Linked DNA regions of Schizosaccharomyces pombe. The gene in region 3 interacts genetically with the main gene of each other region. Each region holds a gene or a part of one and is shown on either strand. Other genes may lie near its edges. The genes, in order: ypt7, rhb1 and btn1.

Region 1 (3,758 bases), on a different chromosome or scaffold from region 3:
TTCTCATCAAATCATTCACAAAAATAAATAATTATAAAATTAGGTCCATTTAAGAAGCTTTTCTAGTAAATCGAGTAATCTCACCTTAAAGTAGTAATGGTGGTAGGGAGGATGAATCTATAACAAACTTATATAAGCTGTACGCAATTTCAGTTTCTCTTACGTTTTCAAACTATACGATGATTAAAGCGCCAAATTGGGATTTTTTGCTTTGTTTATTTTGTTCAAGCCAAAGAACCATTCTTAATTGCTAAATTCCAAGTTATGGATTTTAATTGACTAAATACAACCACATCTTCTGATGCCACTAACTTTGAATATTCTTTTCAACCATATTTCTACAAATGTTTTTAATGTTAAAAGGTTGATATAAATAGAATTCATTTTGCTAGATCAAGCTAGTTTCAGATAAATAATAGAGCATCAATGAAAGCTAACGGCATAAGCAAAAATAACATAAAAGGCAGACACGTCGTACCAGAGGTGCACGGACTTAGTTAATCATTTTGCGAATAAAAGGCCGATCTAAATACTTTAACGGTTTCTATGCTCTCAACACTTAAATGAAGAGCAACATAAATGGGAAGAAAATGGAAATAAGAGAAAAGGCAAAGACTATCATAAGACACCAATCATGCAAATAAGAAAAAACCCATACAAAGAAATGTCCTTAATTAAGTAGCTTTAAGAAGAATAGGGTTTAACAGTAACATGAAGTTTTTTGACTCTCCATATCTAAATGAATAGGATCTGTAAAGTCTGCCGCAATATCGTCAGAATCCATGTTCTCCAGAGCTAACTTAGCCACTGTTTCGAATGCTTCTTGAACATTGATAGCTTCTTTAGCACTTGTCTCGAAATAGGGAATTTCTCCTCTAGCTTGGCAAAAGGCCAATGCTTTTGATTTTGAAACCTGAAATTATTAGCAAGAAATTCTCAGCTTTGTATTAAAAATTCAATACTTTAGACACATACCATCCTCTTTTGTTCTTCCACGTCGACCTTGTTTCCAAGCAAGATAAAGGGAAATGTCTCTGGATTGCTCGGTGATGCTTGAATCAAAAATTCGTCGCGCCAGCTATCTAAAGTTTCAAAGGACTTGCTGTTATTAACATCATAAACGAGGACACAGCAATCTGCGCCTCGATAAAACGCAACCCCCAAACTCTGGAACCGCTCTTGACCAGCGGTATCCCAGAGCTGTAATGTAACGACTTTGTCATCGACCAGAACTTCTTTGGTAAGAAAATCCGCTCCTATGGTTGCTTTATAATCTTTGCTAAACTTTCGATTCACATACTAAACAGATTTGGTCAATAACTTTCATTTCAAACATGACAGTCATAACATTAACATATTTCAAAAAACATACCTGATTCATGATAGAAGTCTTTCCAACACCGCTTTCTCCTAAAATAATAACTTTCAGCAAATGCTTCTTTTTGCCGGCCATATTTACAGCGTAAAAACGAGATAATTCGATATATTATTGAAGGCCAATAGTCCTAATTGAACCAAGAATCCTTTTGAGATCTGCAAAAAAAAATAAATTTATAAATTACTTCTTTCTTTGAAACGGAAATAGTTGCGCACGTTCCCTTGGTGTTTGCTCTGCGAGTATCAAGGCTTGTGAGTCTACCCTTCATATGCCTTTCACGTCATGAGTATAACGAACTTCATCATGCTTGGGTATTTTGATCAAAAGAAATATGGTAAACTTCACTATTTAAATAATTACTACATAGGCAATCCGATGTATACTGACAACTTTCTTATATGCTTGTCGAAAACAGTAATGATTTATTAATACATTGGTAGGAATCTAAGTTTTTATTTAAATTTTATTTTTTCAAGATTTAGTAGTCAATTTTTCCAGTTCTTTCATCTCGTCTCGTATTGAGTAAGTTGCTACCATATTTTGTTTGTGTTGTCTTCAAGAGAATATCACGCAGTCTCCTATCTAACTGGTGTTAAATGGAGTTAATTAAAAAAATACAAGATAGGGATGCTGCTGAGAAAGCGTATTACGATGTCATAGAACCATATTCAGAACTTTTGGAATTCAGTTTTCACAAAGAGTTTGTGAGTGAAGAGAAAGTCACCCAAAGGACTGCGTCAAGCGATTCTCTGAACACCATTGCTAGTGAGAATAATGACGAGAACGTAATAAACCTAGAAGAATTTCGGCAATTGAAAAGGAATTGTGATTTATATCAAAGGAATTTGCAAAAGCTGCAGCTGCTGTTCAAACAGCAATCCCAAAAAAACACACTCTTAGAAAAACAGCTTTCACTACAAACTGAGTTGAATCAGGAGAAAGATAAGCGGGTTAAAATACTCCAAGATGAGCTGTGGGCTTTACAACTTGAGGTAGCTGCTTTAGAGAGGAAATCTCCTAATGCCTAAAATTATCCGGGATTCAATTTTTTGTCGACAGATTATTTTAGTTATACTGTTAAATTTAGAAAACGTCGATTCGCGCTAGGTTCACTAATTATGATTTTACGAAATGTTTGTTATGCTTATGGATTAATATTAAATATTTTCTAGATGATTTCAAGTTAAAAAGGATACTTAAAAGCATAATGAGAGGTCTTCGCTTGTACTCGTCGTTCCAATTTTAGAAGTTACAAGCATAGACTATCTCTTCAGTGGTTGACCGCACATTTTTATGTCAATGGATATGTCCTTTGTATAATGAGGAAACATAAGCATTCAATTACTTGTATGAAGATTTTTCGGCATTAATATCTTCATGAATATCATTTTCTACATGGTCAAAATAGTAAATTTGATTATCTCAATTCAAGTAGCTTATGTTCCCCTTTTTATTTCCTTATCGGTAACGCCTACGAGTAATTGAATTTTCAATCTGTATTATTATTTAAGCGATGTCTTGTTATAAGTATTGGTTGAAAAAATATTATGCATTTCTTTAATACATTTGATTTTCGTCACTTGTATGCTTCTAATGAGATTGGTTCATGAATGACAACGGTTCAACAAAAGTATAATCTAGTTCTTACTGAGTAATCAAAACGAAGAATTATCCGGCGAAACAAAATATGTCTGCCCAAAGCTTTAAGTTGAATTTAATAATAGTTGCATAATTCTTTAAACTTTAGTATTTAGATAGTTCAGAAATATTGTATTGCTTGCAAGATTGAATATAAAAGCTTGGGTATCTAAGCGTAATGAATGTTACTATTTCCATTACTCTGAGCGACAATATGGATAACTCAGTACTAGTTCATAGTCTTTTAAGGTATACACAAAGAAAATTAGAAGGATAGGAAATAGAATAAGAAATATAACTTGTTTTATACAGGGTTATACTCAAAGACAAATATTTGATGCAAGGGTTTAATTTTAAAGACTACGATATACCTACAATACACTCTTTTTCCCTACTGCTATTTGGCATTCAATCAAATAAAGTGCTGCTTGTTAGAGCAGTAAGCAAAGAATACATTTATCATTGGAAATTTAAGTACGATTGGTAGTTTATTGATTCAAGGTAGCCTGCTAGAATTTGATATTTAATGTTAATCGATCAATTTTGTCAATGAGATTTTGTGTGGGCAATTGTTCACTTTAGTTTTCCTAAATTTCGTCCAGTGTATTTTTATAAAGCATTTATTGTAAAATAATTTGAAAAATTATCCACTAAAACATCATTCTCATGTATAATTCTATAATTGATTCACGCTGTATTCAACCTCCAACCATGTAACTTCAAATTTTTCTTGAACTTGTTC
Region 2 (3,486 bases), on a different chromosome or scaffold from region 3:
ATGGTATTATTTCGACACGGTTCAACTGGAGTTTGTAATGTTTTAGCAAAGGCAATGGAACTTTTAAATTTGATTCCAGTTTTTCCCGTTAAAAACGTTCACAATTTTGCAAACTCTCCTAATGAAGGTGTTTTCAGAGATTGCATCTTAGTGAAGCAAGGAACGACTGCTGGACAGGTATCTCAAATGGTATTGGGTGGAGAAGCAATGTCTATTGTGGGTGTAAATGGAAACGTCGGCGAATCTGATGTTATTGTCCCAGGTAAAACGGATATCCTTCACTTTCGATTGCGGAAAGCTGAAGCTTAAGTGATTCATGAAGAAAAGTGGTAAAAGGTCGATTTTGGGAAATATTCAAAATAGTTTTGTATAGATGTTAATAAACAATACTATGTCTAAAAATTAATTTGGTTAGTTTAAAACTTCCGAAGAGCTAACTCAACAAATTACGTCTACAATGTCTGGCTGTACTTTCTCCACTATGTATTACATTGACTAAATTTTAAAACCATAGTTTAGGTACTTGTATATTTGAAATAAAGAGTCGAAATCTTGTAAACCCATGTGTAAAAAAACACGTTTGTGTGCAAAGTATCACCTCATGTAATGTAAGCCCATATCTTGCATTAGCAAAGATAAAATCGTTAATTCAGTTAAAATAAATTAATCCATAATATGATAAATTCAAGCAGAAGCTTAGGCGATAACACAACCCTTTCCATCACCAGGAGGGGAAGGATTTGCTTGTTTTTCAATTTCGCTGATAATTAGCTCGAATGCTCGAGCAACATTTTCGTTATGGCGAGCTGAAGCTTCTGTCCATGCACATTTCCATTCATTGGCCAATGCTTTTCCCTCTTCAGCGGTAACAGCACGCTGCATATGCAAGTCGCTCTTATTGCCAACAACCACAATGGGGACCCACTCAGTACCCTTAATAGCAAGTAGGTTAGTAAAAAATTTAAAAATTCTAATAATTTGACATACAGTGTGATTCAATATCTTGTCACGAACTATTTTAACCATCTCAAAAGAAGATTTGCTAGTAATGCTGTAAACGAGTACATAGCCATGGATTCCAATGGAATGCTTAGAATTTAAGATACTGTATTCATCTTGACCAGCCGTATCGATAATTTCAGTAGCAAATTCTTGACCCTTATACTTGATGTTCTTGCTGAATGTATTTTCAATAGTTGGATAATACGATTCAACGAAATGGTTTTCAACATATTGCACCGTTAAACTATTTAAAAAAAATGGTTAGTAAACCTATTTGCGCATAAACTTCAATCAAACGCTTACCTGGACTTTCCAACAGAACGACTGCCAAGAACAGCAATTCTACGAGATTTAATAGGAGCCATTGTTTAAATTAGAAAATTTCAAGATTATAATATTTAAAAAGGCAAATTATTAACTATAGAGTGATCGTAAAAAAAAGTGAGTGAAAGCAACGATGTTGTGGATGTCACGTTCCCAGCGCGCCGCAAAGGTCATTTTACCAAGTCACTGCGCAAGTAGTCTTGCAACGATTTATGTAGTTCATCAATTATAGAAACAATGGCTAGTCCATTAGAACCCATCATCATTAATTCCTCTTTCAATTTCAAATGAAAATTTTTAAATTTATGTAGAGATTCGTAAAACTGAGATATCAAAGGCTTGAGTTGGGCAAACGCTTTGGGATCATTTAAAAAGCAATGGCTTAAAATCATTACGACATATCCACTAATTTCTACGATACTTTCCTACATTTGTTAGAAATGTCTTACAACAGAAGTAGTACAACTTACGTTCTTTTGATAAAACGAAATGAGGACATCGAGTGCTGAAGCTCCGAAAGAAACTAAATAGAATTAGTAAAAATATTAATAAAAGGAACTTACCTTCAACATGAGTGATAGTTTGAATAAACTCATGAGATTCCTCAACTAGCCCTAGTAAAAGACCAAGGATTAAGATAATTAGTTCTCGTGTAGTTTCATCATCGGACGAAAAATTAGAAAACTTTTGTAAAATTTTATAAGCAAACAATGGGACTTCTGATTTAGAAACCGCTAACGCATGATCACTGTTAGAATTAACTGTTTGAATCAAAGTACGCAACAATTTTTCACTGCATGCATGGACAACTGTATCGTCAATTTTTGGTGAATTTGTTTCATTGTGTTCATCAATTAAAATTTGTAACTTTGAGGATAAGATCTGTGAAACCTTCTGAATCTTTTCTGATCCCTGGAAATCCGTAAATTTTTCTAAAGAACTACAAAGTGCATGAAGTAAGAAGTTATTGCTTCCATCGTTTTCCTTCAAGATGGGGTAGGATTTTTCTATTAAAAGATTGATTAATTCGGTAAACAACTCGCTTTCCGCAAAAACTCCCGAGGACGTCTTCATAAGAGCGATAGCTGCAAGACTGATAGAATCAGAAGAAGCAAGAGACTCATTGCTAAAACTAAAAGTAAGCTCTGCCTTTATAACGAATTCTTGAACGGCTCCCTTTACACTTTTTGGTAAGCTTTTTGCCAAAATTGAAACCGGTACCTGCGGTTCTAAAGTAATAGCCGTTTGCAAAAGAAGTTTAACATTGTTTGAGTAAGCATCAAGCAAGGAACTCATGCAATCCATTTCATTAGCCATAGTTGCAAATATATAAATCTGCAAAAAAGTGTGTAAAGTATCTTTAGGATCAATTTCTTCAAATATTCGCAAGAAGACATCCCGTATCGACTTTAAGCATAAACGAAATGAATTGTCAAACATTTTTTCAGCGATTCCTATTAAACTCAAATAGCGAGAAGCAGAAGAGTTACCTGAGAAAGTCACTCCGTCCACTAAGTATTCAATTTCATCAACGATCCTTTGCTGCTCTCCAGCAAAGCGAAGTTCATGTATACTTTTCATTTGAATTTCATCATCTTCTGATACGTCTTCCTCTATCAAAAAAGCACGTTCTGTACCAATAGTATGGTTGGTTGAATCCAATTCTCGACCAGAGGATACTTCACGGGGTACAATTGGCTGAGTATCTAATCCTTCCTCCATCAAATACGATCTTTGTTCCCGATAGGTAGTGGAAGAATGGTTTGCGGAAGCATCAATACTACTACAGCTCGCGGACCTTTCCAGTCCTGTCTTATGAGAACCGTACTTTGAATTCTGAAGTCCATTTCTTAAAATTTGTTTTACCGGTGAAGACGGTAAACTCAAATCAGGATTACTAACGACCCTTTGCTTTTTATGCAGTCGTTTAGACACGGTCTGTCCTGGCGAGCGCTTTTGCTTGTTTAACTCTGAAACTGTCACGTCTAAAAAGTTCCAAACTTCCGATTCCGAAGAAATTCTCTTCAAACCATTATCTTTTTCCTTACATTTTCCTCTTTTCATTTCAAGGTTTCTTCAATCCGCCTGGCTTGACATCGATTCTTTACAAAAATGGAGGAACACGGTCGTACCAACTCACAATGTAGCTTGTCGAGTGAG
Region 3 (3,758 bases):
AAATAAATAAATACAACACCCTAATAAGAGCGTTCCAGAGTTAAAGAAAGAAGAGTCAAAAAAATCGCGATATCGATACTAAACAAAATTGCGATCAGAAGAAGCACAAGGTGCCGAAAAAAAAATATTGACACAAGAAGATAAGAATGCAACAGTAATGATATTTGACAAAAATCAATCGGTAAAGAAAAGAAAGTTCGTACTAAAGGCTCTATATATACAAAAAAAATGCTGCTTTAAATATCACTCAAACCGAAACAATCGACTCTGTAAACAAACAGAAAAACAGTGCTTATTCGACAAAACATTCAAAAGTGTGGGGAAACTTTTATTAATCAGTTTCTTACTGGTTTAAACAAAATATAACAAGGCTGAGCAAAAAAAATAGGAGTCAAAGGCTTTACCAAAAGCTTGATGCGAGTGTTAACTCATTGAAGCGCACATCGTCCATCTTTTTTACTTGATGATCTACACATGATCATCTCTAACAATGAGGGAAGTTTTGCATTCAGATTATATGAGTTGTTTATACAAGTCGCATATGAACATTCTGAAACGAGGGTACGGAAATGATGGAATATACTTTAATAGTTTAAAGAGAGTTAAAATGAGTGCATCATCATATCTGGTATGCATTTTCGATTACAGGGAGAGGGTGGTACTGTAAAATTACCATTTTACAGCACGAAAACTCCTTTTGTTTATCAGTAGATTAAAAGGATACTCTCATTAGTAAGTTTAGTGGATTAAATAGTATTAACAGCATGTGCTTAAAAAATGTTGAAACATGTCGATGGCACTGTGATCGCATAATAATTCATTATGCTCATTGAAGTTAATATAAAACCAAAGGAAATCTAAGAGATTATAAGTCTCTTAGCTTTACTTAAAAGAGATTCTAAAATTCAAACTCTAAAGTGCGTCTGCAAACAGCTGTTTGCTGTAGCTGCTGGATTTATGAACCATGGTGAGGTGCGATTTGTAAACTAGAGAATGATAGCGAAACGCTCGTTAAAACGCCAATATCGCACTTTCTATGGACAGTATTATAAATTTGTAGTACAGCATCAAGCATAATATAATTCCCAGTAACTAACATAATGATCCCATTACTGTTAAATGTAATGTGTTATGGGTCAAAGCAAACAAGGCAAATTTGATAATGAACGAGATGATTTTTCGGTTCGGTTTCCAATTCGTTATTATAAACAGTCGTAACGGAGCGTCAAACCTTCATTTAGTAAAAAAAAAAAAAAAAAATTGACTAAGCAATACGAAATATCTATAGTAGATACATGCGTATTACTATTTTATATTATTGTTGAGCAAAGTGATAATGCAATAACGATGTTAACCGTAGTTCGGTAAAGACACATTCATACGATATTATATTCAATTTGTTTTGATTTACGATTTAGAGTTTTTAAACATAAGCAAACGAAGATCGGAATTAAACCAAAATAAATCTCGTGCCAAAAACAATAACTTCATAAGTAGAAGCTGTAGACACGTGAATAGAATATTTAAAGATGTTGTAATTGTTTTCCTGGGAGATTTCAAGAAGTGCTAACCGAAGCATGAGTAAACTAGGAGCTTTTCGATCACAGCAAGCAAGGCATGTCAGTTACTAGTCGTTGAAATTTTAGTAGGGTAAGCTTTAGCTTGATAGCGGTTGCTTGGAAAAAACAGTGTAACATTCAAAATCGGTTTCTTTTGAACCTGACAACATTACCGTAATAATTCAATCGCTCAATACGCCATTCGTGAAGGGTAGTAGCCTTTCTCTTACGAAGTTACTAAAAACTCAATTTTTTTTGTACCCTTAAGCGCTTACGAGTTCTTTTCTTCAACTTATTGCTACTCGAATAATAAATGTTAAACATATCTCGACTTGCTTTTCAGTTCGTTGATCCTCGCTATTTACAGTTTGTAACAAGTTAACTCGTCTATGAAGTCATCGATAGAAGGGCTTTAAAGTGTGCTATTTGCGAAACAACAGCAAATTTGTAGACTAGCACTTTACAAAAGTCTACTATCGTATTGCCGGTTCAAACTAAAATTTATGACCTCAGTTTCTACTAAATATAGTACGAATCATGATTAAATTGAGGTTAACAAAAGATGCGAAAGTAGGGTGTTGCTTCCTAATTTTTGGATTGTTAAACAACCTTCTCTACGTGATAATTTTATCCGCTGCCTTAGATTTGGTTGGCGCAAACGTTTCTAAGGGTGTGGTACTACTTTCTAATATTGTTCCTTCTTTGGCGTGCAAGTTGTCAGCATCAATTCTTCATGTTCATAAATTTAAGTTTGCAAAGAGAATCGGTTTTTGTGTTTTCATGTCCATATTAGGAATGCAATGGATTGCTTGGTCTTCCTCCGTCCCTTCGAAAATGCTTGGTGTATCTCTGGCAGCCATTTCATCGAGTTTTGGCGAAATCTCTTTCTTGCATCTATCAAGTCGTTATCACTCTGTGTCTTTACCGTGCTGGAGTTCCGGAACAGGCTTGGCCGGTCTCTTTGGTGCATCTTCCTATTTGGTTATGACTACATGGTTTAACTTCTCGGTACGCAGCACACTTATTATCTCTAGCTTTCTGCCGCTTTTCCTTTTGATCATGTACTTTTTTGTGTTGCCAGAGTCTGAATCTACATCACCTTCAATTAACAACAATTATACGCCAATTGAATCTATTGATCTTCGAGCAGGGCACGTTTCATTCAATTTCGTTAATTCTTTGAAGCAAACATTCATATTCATGCAACCATACCTTCTTAGTCATATGTTTCCGCAGTTCCTTGTATACTTCTCAGAATATACTATCAATATTGGTGTAGCTCCCACTCTTTTATTCCCGCCCGAAAAAGCTGGCTTTTCTTCGTTTAGGGATTTTTATCCTACTTACCAAACTGTTTACCAGATTGGTGTTTTCCTATCGCGATCCTCCATTTCATTTTTTACTGTCCCATATTTGCGCACATTGGCAATAACACAGTTCATTATCCTTCTATTTACTATACTACAGTCGGCCCTATATCTTACTTCCAGCTATCATTTTGTACTATTCCTCATATTCGTTGAGGGTCTTATTGGTGGTACCGTTTATGTGAACGTGTATCATAGTTTGCAGACTACGGAGAGTAGTCAGCGTGAACTAGCTATTAGTACTGTTGGCTCTTCAGATAGCTCTGGAATTTTTTTAGCTTCATTGGTATCACTATTCCTTGAACCCTCCTTGTGCCATTTCCAAGCTGATCGTGGCCGAGATTGGTGTGCCTTAACTTGAAATAGTGAGTGCGCACATCTCCATTATATTGAGAGTTAACCTATGACGTTTCTTCCATTAGTGTGCTAAGTGCTTCAATATCAAGTTTGCTTTACGACCATTTTCTTTCAACTATTGTTTACTTTTTTAGTTCTTAATAGGTTTGCTTTGAAAGAAGAAGTTTTTCATTCCTAATTCCTGATACCAGAAGTTCTTAAACTTTTGGTGCACAATTACTTTCTGCTGTGCATTCTATGCGAATCATATCAAAACATACATTACTTAATTTTTTCCTTTTCATATCTTCCTTCTTTTAGATAATATGGCAGAACAGAAAATCATATCCTTATTTGACGATGATGCTTGTACTCGTTATACAATTTTAATTGCTAGTACAATTGGTGAAATGCGAGAGAAGAAAGAGTCAATAATCGATAACACGGATCCTGAAATAGTAAAATATCTTTCTCAATTATTGGACGTCTTTAGAGA

The links.
Region 1: of btn1 (region 3) and ypt7, changing one suppresses a phenotype caused by changing the other (phenotypic suppression), as found in Schizosaccharomyces pombe (one study listed by BioGRID).
Region 2: of btn1 (region 3) and rhb1, changing one suppresses a phenotype caused by changing the other (phenotypic suppression), as found in Schizosaccharomyces pombe (one study listed by BioGRID).

What each region holds. Positions count from the first base shown.
Region 1 is NC_003423.3:3,146,778-3,150,535, forward strand, and holds ypt7 (GTPase Ypt7), read right to left. Parts: upstream 1,616-3,758; 5' UTR 1,454-1,615; coding exon 1,373-1,453; exon of another isoform or gene 1,300-1,372; coding exon 976-1,299; exon of another isoform or gene 959-975; intron 914-958; coding exon 701-913; 3' UTR 319-700; downstream 1-318. Other genes in the region: protein Atg16, read left to right, coding at 1,975-2,406. UniProt on the Schizosaccharomyces pombe protein: Ypt/Rab-type GTPases are key regulators of membrane trafficking and intracellular vesicular transport.
Region 2 is NC_003423.3:473,131-476,616, forward strand, and holds rhb1 (Rheb GTPase Rhb1), read right to left. Parts: upstream 1,368-3,486; coding exon 1,306-1,367; exon of another isoform or gene 1,247-1,305; coding exon 988-1,246; intron 934-987; coding exon 697-933; 3' UTR 540-696; downstream 1-539. Other genes in the region: SPOM_SPBC428.15 (Obg-like ATPase), read left to right, coding at 1-309; wpl1 (WAPL family protein), read right to left, coding at 1,497-1,751, 1,797-1,849, 1,890-3,390. UniProt on the Schizosaccharomyces pombe protein: Binds GTP and exhibits intrinsic GTPase activity. Regulates entry into stationary phase when extracellular nitrogen levels are adequate for growth.
Region 3 is NC_003424.3:2,049,991-2,053,748, reverse strand, and holds btn1 (battenin CLN3 family protein), read left to right. Parts: upstream 1-2,000; 5' UTR 2,001-2,096; coding exon 2,097-3,287; downstream 3,288-3,758. Other genes in the region: protein Mil1, read left to right, coding at 3,589-3,758. UniProt on the Schizosaccharomyces pombe protein: Involved in vacuolar transport and vacuole pH homeostasis. Also required for cytokinesis.